2 separate regions of the Mus musculus genome follow, and region 1 is reported to be linked to region 2. Evidence: microRNA targets listed by miRTarBase, many of them from high-throughput screens and not tested one by one. Region 2 holds a microRNA gene; the other region holds the end of a gene's coding sequence.
What was found. Region 2 holds the annotated microRNA mmu-miR-669j (UGCAUAUACUCACAUGCAAACA, at 1,376-1,397, shown strand). A microRNA usually pairs through its seed, bases 2 to 8, with sites in the 3' UTR of a target mRNA and lowers its output. Matches are read on the target gene's strand: a 7mer-m8 pairs with bases 2 to 8, a 7mer-A1 pairs with bases 2 to 7 and ends in A, and an 8mer does both.

Region 1: miRTarBase lists Cysltr1 as a target of mmu-miR-669j. Seed matches in the 3' UTR shown: 8mer at 2,608-2,615 and 7mer-A1 at 2,556-2,562.

Annotation. Positions count from the first base shown.
Region 1 is chrX:106,574,347-106,578,769 of GRCm38, forward strand. It overlaps Cysltr1 (cysteinyl leukotriene receptor 1), which reads right to left. Exons shown (of 4, transcript NM_021476.5): 4 at 2,163-4,423. The coding sequence ends at 3,474. Among named protein-coding and RNA genes, the nearest start is that of Gm5127, 6.6 kb to the right of the region's middle.
Region 2 is chr2:10,476,614-10,481,036 of GRCm38, forward strand. Mir669j (microRNA 669j) reads left to right here and starts at 1,297; the gene lies at 1,297-1,417. The region is part of intron 10 of Sfmbt2 (Scm-like with four mbt domains 2); the gene reads left to right. Mir669a-1 (microRNA 669a-1) reads left to right here and starts at 240; the gene lies at 240-336. Mir669g (microRNA 669g) reads left to right here and starts at 537; the gene lies at 537-659. It also overlaps Mir467a-2, Mir466e, Mir669a-4 and Mir466b-8.

The DNA of each region.
Region 1 (4,423 bases), not on the chromosome of region 2:
TTACAGTCTGAGAAGAACACACGTTTATTTTGAAACTTAACATATAGAACATTTGCTTAAGATCAGTAATGCATTTTAAGGATACACAAGCAAAACATGCTGAAAGAAATAAAAAGTTAAGTGTATAATAGGAAATAGTCTGGCTAGTTGATGAGATTTGAAAAGGCTGCTAGTGACCAAAGGGATATATGTAAAGACTGTAAGAGTGTTAATGTTATAGATTATTATTATTTTGCTTCTAGGAATTGCAAATATTAAGCTCTTCCTAATTTCAATATTTTAAGTGACTTTTATGGCATTCTTTGGAGTAAATCATGGGTGTGTGTAATGCTCATCATATACCGGGAGAACATGGCCCACAGAATCAACTAAGCAGGGCACATAGGGTCTCACAAACCCAGGAATGGTAATCAGGAGGTTTGAAGCAATTGTGAGTCCGCATAGGTCTGAGCTAGGTGCTCTGCATAATACATTGTGGTTGTGTAGCTTGGTCTTTTTGTGGGACTCCTAACAGTGGGAGTGTGGATGTTCTGACTCTTTTGCCTGTTCTTGGGACGCTTTTTGTCTTACTTGGTTGATAAGAGGGTTTATGCCTGTCTTATTGTAACTTGTCATAGTATGTTTGGTTGAGATCCCTGGGAGACATGCTGTTTTCTGAAGGGAAGTGGAAGAAGAGTGGATCTAGGGAAGAGGGCAGATGGGGAGGAGGAGAACTGGAGGGAGGTGAAGGAGGGGAAATTGGAGTTGGGATATAATACATGAGAGGATAAGTAAAAAAGAAATAATAAAAAGTCATACAAATATACATGTATAAGTAAAAAATAAAATAAAAATCTTTCTTTAAAAAGCACACACTTTAATGTATCATCAATCCATCCTCCCTCTCTCTCTCTCTCTCTCTCTCTCTCTCTCTCTCTTTCTCTCTCTCATTTGTCAATCAAGTATCTCTTATCTGCTTGTCGCAAGAGCATAATATATCTGTCCTATTAAAAAATAAAGGCACAGTGATAATGGAAGGTATAATTTTGTATAGTAAACCTTTAGGGACTATCCATCATGTATACTGGAATCTTTGTACTTGAAAATGATGACACAGATACCTAGCAAATTAAGAATGTAAATTCTGGCAACAGAATGTCCAGAGTTCAATCTTGGTTCTGTAGCTTGCTGGCAAAATGAGGATAGTAATGATATGTACTCTGCAGGGCATTTGTATTTATAAATTGACACAGGTAAAATATTTAAAACATTTAAAAAGCTTTTAAAATTAAAATTACACACACACACACACACACACACACACACACACACACACAATAAATGTTATATAATCCCATGTAGAGATGTAATTTGTAACCTCAAGGAATTGATAATTCTACACAGAACACTTCCCTTTAGGAGAAAATACTAATACACATGGAGAAACTGGAGAAAGTAGTAAGAAGTAAGTTGTATGGCATAGGCTATAAAGACATAATTCAAGAAAGAACAATACATTCATTGTGAGTTTGCAGGTGACTGAAGTTTTGTGCCATATCTATATGGTACACGTAGGTACATATGTGAGTGGAACAGCAAATACAAACAAAAGCTTGGACATAGGAATAAATGAGCAAAATGATTATATGCACTAGAATTTAACTATGTCAATGTCTTGTTCAAATTCTTTCAAAATTAAAAATGGATACAATAAATATGAATTAGCATATTTAACAACTCTCCTATAAATACTTTACACTTGATCTTAGCCAAAAGGCTGAGAAGGGATAAATACTTTAAAGTGGCATCTTACTATATATATTTTAGGATACAATTTTAGCATATCTAACCACCTTTGAGTCCTTCAAATGGCCATAAGAAAGCATAACAAGTATCATTCTTATCTTACAGCTGAGAAAGTTAAGGTTTTAGGCTTACAAATTTCACTCAAAAGTATGTTAACTTTGTTAAGTTAAGAAAGACCAGGTTAAAAGAGATCAGGTTCACATGCAGACATCTTGGCTTCCAGTGCCATGCTCTCCCACCACAAAGCAGAAATGTAGCAAATGAGACCTGATGTCTTTTGACAAATATGTTTGATATTTGTTTCAAGCAAGAGGAACGAGAGTAATATAGACACTGCCAATTTTCAGACATGTTCAACAGAAATCAACAAGTTCCAGTTATTTTTCATCCTTAGAGTCCTCTCTTTATTATGCTTTAAACACAATTTCCCAAGGGGTCCAGCAGAAGTGAAATAGAAAAAGTTTTCACGTAGCTGATACTGACACAACTCCATTCATGGTTTTTCTTTTTCCCATCTCTGCTATCATTTATTTCTTCTGAGTTGATGTGACTTTTGAAACTCATAGTTAGGAAAAAAGTGGCCTTCAGCAAAACTTTGTCAATGAATATCATATTTTAGTCACAACCAAGCTGTTTTCAATGGTTTGGTTTAAGAACAAAGCTTCTGCTATAATATAAAAATCACTGTAAACAAATATTACTTTCAACATGCTAATAAAAAAGAAATAAGTATAAAACAACAATAAATCTCATAATTAACTAACAATAAATGCATATCATAGAACAAGATAGATTACATATATTTATATACATACATATAAATGCATATACTTATTAAAAGTATTAATGACATGGATATTCAAATTTTCTTCTGCTATCTAACATAGTAAATTTTGATTCCAACAAATCTCATGTAGAAAGGTAGGCCTATTTTCTTTACTTCTGATGAATTTTGACTTCTTCTGTCATATATGGGAATGCCAGTTGCCTTACTTATTAAGGAAGGATTATAGGTAGAATAGGGATTGAACCACTGTGAGCAAGAACACCATTCTTTTGCCGGTGCTTGAGTCAAGGGCAGAAGAGAATTAGAGACAAACTGGCCTTTGATCAGATTTATCTTCCTTATTTTTCCATATTGTAAATTTCATGCAGCCTGTGGAGCTATTTGGCTGAATATTGGTCTGTTCTGGTACTTGAACATTCTCTTCTGGAAGACAGGGCACTACTTTACCTAGCTAGTCAGTACTACAAAGGAAACGGCTGACCAAATGTACGTCCCGAGTCATCTCCAGGTCTCATCTGATGGCATGCATGCAAAGGGAGATGTTAGGGTGACTGATGACTATTTGCTAATTTTAAAACTATATTTAAAAGCTGAACTCAAAAGTCTAGTAGGTAGCCTTTTAAATCCCTTTTATATTCTTGATTTCATACTCAGTTTTATAGTTCAGAACCATAAACATTCTTAAGTTTCTGGTGAGTCTTCAAAAAGAAATCTATGGGTTAGTTCACAGTTATAAATTGAGTTTTGAACACTTAAAATATCAAATAATAGTATTTATAAATGAAATAGATATAATTATTTGTAAACTATTAATGGGAAACATTTTTTTTTAATTTTGATTTAGAAAAACACTCGTTAGGGAATTTCTTTTTCATTGTTCTGCACTGTAGATGAGTTTGAATTATTCGTTACATATTTCTTCTCCTTTTTCTGGCAAGGAAGCTTTCTTCTTGGGTACATAAGTCATACTGGACAAAGAATGCTTTCTAAATGTAGATAGCCTTCTCCTAAAGTTTCCACCTGAAAAGAAATATAGCAGAGGATCAAAGCAACAATTTGATGCAGCTAGAGATAAGGTTATGACCACTGACTTCTGCATCCTAAGGACAGAATCACAGGGTCTAGTTTCACTGTGTAAAAGGTGAAGGTGGATAGTTCGTTGAATATGATATGGCATGAAGCTCACTAAAAAGGCAGCTGTCACAACTATGATCATCCCTATAGCCTTCCTACGACTTGGCATGTTTTTCTTCATTGTATTTTTTAGTAAGGTCAGAATGATCATTGTGTAACAGACAATTATGGTGACAAAAGGGATGATGAAACCAAAGAATAATGACACATAATGCAAGATCAAAACGTATTTTTTAGCTTGATTGTTCTGTGGAGGCTCAAAGCATTTAGTATTGTTTTTCTCATCTTGGTAAGATTTGTACATTAAAAAGGGAGAACTTGTCAAAATCACAAAAATCCAAATTCCAATGCAAACGAACCTGGCTTTTTTCTGTGTAACCAAATTAATGTTCTGGACTGGAAAGACAATTGCAACACACCGGAAAAAGCTCATGGCTGTCATAAAGAAGATGCTACAATAGAGGTTAACGTACAAGGCATAGGTGGTGAGGCGGCACAAAAAGTCACCAAAGAGCCACTTGCCTTTGTGAACATAATAGACCACACGGAGAGGCAATGTACATACACAGAGTAGATCTGCTATGGCTAGATTAATCATGTATACTTGGAAGGCTGATTTCTCATGGTATGTTTTTATGAGGACATAGAGCACAAAGCTATTGCCAAAGAAACCCACAACAGAGATCACAGAATACATAGTGGAGTATACTTGATTTC
Region 2 (4,423 bases):
TTGCCCCTATGTATGTGTGTATGTGTTGATGTGTGTGTACATGTACATATGTGAATATGATATACATATACATACACGCACACATAAGACACATATGAGCACACAGACACATGGGAATGGCACTCATCAATCCATTTGAGTGATAAGTGACTTAGAGTGAAAATGCTTGCTAGAGTTAAGAGTATCAGGAGTTCAAATTCATACTTATCCTCATGAGAGATCAGCTTGTGATTCCTCCATGTATGTGCATGTGTGTATAGTTGTGTGTGCATGTTCATGTCTATATTTGAATATACATAACATACACACACACGTATAAACGCAAGCACACATACACAGACACAGGAATGGCATTCGCCAATCCCTTTGAATGATAAGTGATGTAGAGTTTTAGAGATTATGCAATAGGGGGCATTGAATGGCCTCACTCACCAGGTGTAAAAGATTGACAAAGTCAGGAGGATAAGGATTGCAAATTCATGCTTAACTTCATTTGGAGACATCTTGGTATTAATGTCATGCAACCCATTTATGTGCATGTGTGCTTACTTGTATGTGCATTGTATGTGTTGACATGATATACATAACATAAACACACGTGTATCTGCAAGCACACACACACAGGAAAAATTGCATTCATTTATACGTTTGAATGATATGTGACTTAAAGTTTTCAAGATTATGCAGTAGTGGGACAGTGAATGGTTTTACTCACCAGGTGTGAAAGATTGTGGATCAGGAGTTCAAATGCATGCTTTACTACATGATGACTTAGAGATATGCCTGGGATTCATGTGATGCCCCCTATGTATCCCTATCTGTATCTGTTTCTATTGTGTGTGGATTTGAGTATATGGATGTACCTATCTACACAAATATATACATGTACACAGACACAAACAGAAACACACACACAAACATCAGTGCAACTCATCGATCCATTTGAATGACGTGTGACTTAGAGTTTTAAGATTCCTCAGTACTGAATGGGGAGAGGTCTCACTCAGCAGGTGAAATCCCTTGACAGAGTCAGTTGGATCAGGAGTTCAAATTCGTGCTGAATTTCATGATGAGTTCATGACCAGCATGGGATTCATCTTATGCCCACCAAAAATGTGCATGTGTGTATAGTTGTGTGCATATTCACTTCTCTATATGAATATGCATATACACACATGCACACACATTCATAGGAATGGCCAGAGCTATGTCTCAGTTAGGAGGTGAGCACTCTTGCCAGTGTCAGGAGGATGAGGAGTTCAAAATCATGTTTAACTTCATGATGAGTTAGAGTTCAGCATGCGATTCATGTGATGTCCACCAAGAATGTGCATGTGTGTATAGTTGTGTACATATTCACTTTTGTATATGAATATGCATATACTCACATGCAAACATACTCCCACGAATGGCCCGAGCTATGACTCAGTTAGGAGGTGAATACTCTTGCCAGCATCATGAGGATGAGCAGTTCAAATTCATGTTTAACTTTTTGATGAGTTAGAGATCAGCCCGGAATTCATGAGATTTTCCCTGTGTTTGTGTTTATGTGTATAGGGAAGTATGCCTGTACATGCACGTATATGAACATGCATATATATATATATATATATATATATATACATACATATATATATATATACACACACACACAACTAGGGACACATACATGTGCACACAAACACACATGGCAGTCATCCATTTGATTTATACGTGCTTAGAGTTTCATTGAGTTTATATTCATGGTATAGGGAAAAATCTCACTTATCAAATGAAAACTGTTTGCCAGAGTTAGGAGTCTCAGGAGGTCAAATTCATGCTTAACTTCATGATGAGTTAGAGATCACCCTGGATTTGTGGGATCGACCCTAGTTATGTACATTTGCATATAATTGTGTGTGCACGTACATGTGTATATATGATCATCCCTGTAAATACACACACATACAAATGTATTCACACATACAGGCATGCACACTCACACACATAAGAATGACACTCATTGATCCATTTGAATGATATATGTCTTAGAATTTTGCTGATTATAAAGTAGAGGGACAGTGAATATTCTCTCTCACCAGGTGTAAACAATTGGCAGTGTCAGGAAGATCAGGAGTTCAATTTTATGCTTAACTTCATGAGCAGTTAGAGATCATCCTGGAATAATGTGATGGCCCCTATGTATGTGCCTGTGTGCGTAAGTGCCTGCATGTATATGCGTGTATATTTTATGCATATACATACACACACCTACACACACATGCACACAGACATGCGGGAATGGCACTCACGGATCCATTTGAATGATATGTGACCTACTGCTTTGGAGGTTATGTATGACTGGGCCAGGGTGAGGTCTCACAAACCACGGGAAACCCTTGGTAGAGTCGGGAAGATCAGGAGTGCAAGTTCATGGTAAAGGCATGATGTGTTAGAGGTCATCCTGGCATTCATGTGATTGCCCCTATGTATGTGTGTATGTGTTGATGTGTGTGTACATGTACATATGTGAATATGATATACATATACATACACGCACACATAAGACACATATGAGCACACAGACACATGGGAATGGCACTCATCAATCCATTTGAGTGATAAGTGACTTAGAGTGAAAATGCTTGCTAGAGTTAAGGGTATCAGGAGTTCAAATTCATACTTATCCTCATGAGAGATCAGCCTGTGATTCCTCCATGTATGTGCATGTGTGTATAGTTGTGTGTGCATGTTCATGTCTATATTTGAATATACATAACATACACACACACGTATAAACGCAAGCACACATACACAGACACAGGAATGGCATTCGCCAATCCCTTTGAATGATAAGTGATGTAGAGTTTTAGCGATTATGCAATAGGGGACATTGAATGGTCTCACCCACCAGGTGTAAAAGATTGACAAAGTCAGGAGGATAAGGATTGCAAATTCATGCTTAATTCAGTTAGAGATCATCCTGGTATTCATGTGAGGCCACCCATGTATGTGCATGTGTGTTTACTTGTATATGCATTGCCTCTGTTGACATGATATACAAAATATAAACACACGTGTATATGCAAGTACAGACACAGAGAAAAAAATTGCATTCATTTATACGTTTGAATGATATGTGACTTAAAGTTTTAGATTATGCAGTTTGGGACAGTGAATGGTTTTACTCACCAGGTGTGAAAGATTGTGGATCAGGAGTTCAAATTCATGCTTTACTTCATGATGACTTTAAGATATGCCTGGGATTCATGTGATGCCCCTATGTATCCCTATCTGTATCTGTTTCTATTGTGTGTGGATTTGAGTATATGGATGTACCTATCTACACAAATATATACATGTACACAGACACAAACAGAAACACACACACAAACATCAGTGCAACTCATCGATCCATTTGAATGACGTGTGACTTAGAGTTTTAAGATTCCTCAGTACTGAATGGGGAGAGGTCTCACTCAGCAGGTGAAATCCCTTGACAGAGTCAGGTGGATCAGGAGTTCAAATTTGTGCTGAATTTCATGATGAGTTCATGACCAGCATGGGATTCATCTTATGCCCATCAAAAATTTGCATGTGTGTATAGTTGTGTGCATATTCACTTCTCTATATGAATATGCATATACACACATGCACACACATTCATAGGAATGGCCAGAGCTATGTCTCAGTTAGGAGGTGAGTACTCTTGCCAGTGTCAGGAGGATGAGGAATTCAAATTTATGTTTAACTTCATGATGAGTTAGAGTTCAGTATGCGATTCATGTGATGCCCACCAAGAATGTGCATGTGTGTATAGTTGTGTATATATTCACTTCTGTATATGAATATGCATATACTCACATGCAAACATATTCCCACGAATGGCCCGAGCTATGACTCAGTTAGGAGGTGAATACTCTTGCCAGCATCATGAGGATGAGTAGTTCAAATTCATGTTTAACTTTATGATGAGTTAGAGATCAGCCCGGAATTCATGTGATTTTCCCTGTGTTTGTGTTTATGTGTATAGGGAAGTATGCCTGTACATGCGCGTATATGAACATGCATATATATATATGTATATATATGTATATATGTATACACACACACACACACAACTAGGGACACATACATGTGCACACAAACACACATGGCAGTCATCCATTTGATTTATGCGTGCTTTGAGTTTCATTGAGTGTATATTCATGGTATAGGGAAAAATCTCACTTATCAAATGAAAACCACTTGCCAGAGTTAGGAGTCTCAGGAGTTCAAATTCATGCTTAACTTCATAATGAGTTAGAGATCACCCTGTATTTGTGTGATGGATCCTAGGTATGCAAAAGTGCATATAATTGTGTGTGCACGTACATGTGTGTATATGATCATACATATAAATACACACACATATAAAATGTATTCACACACACAGGCATGCACA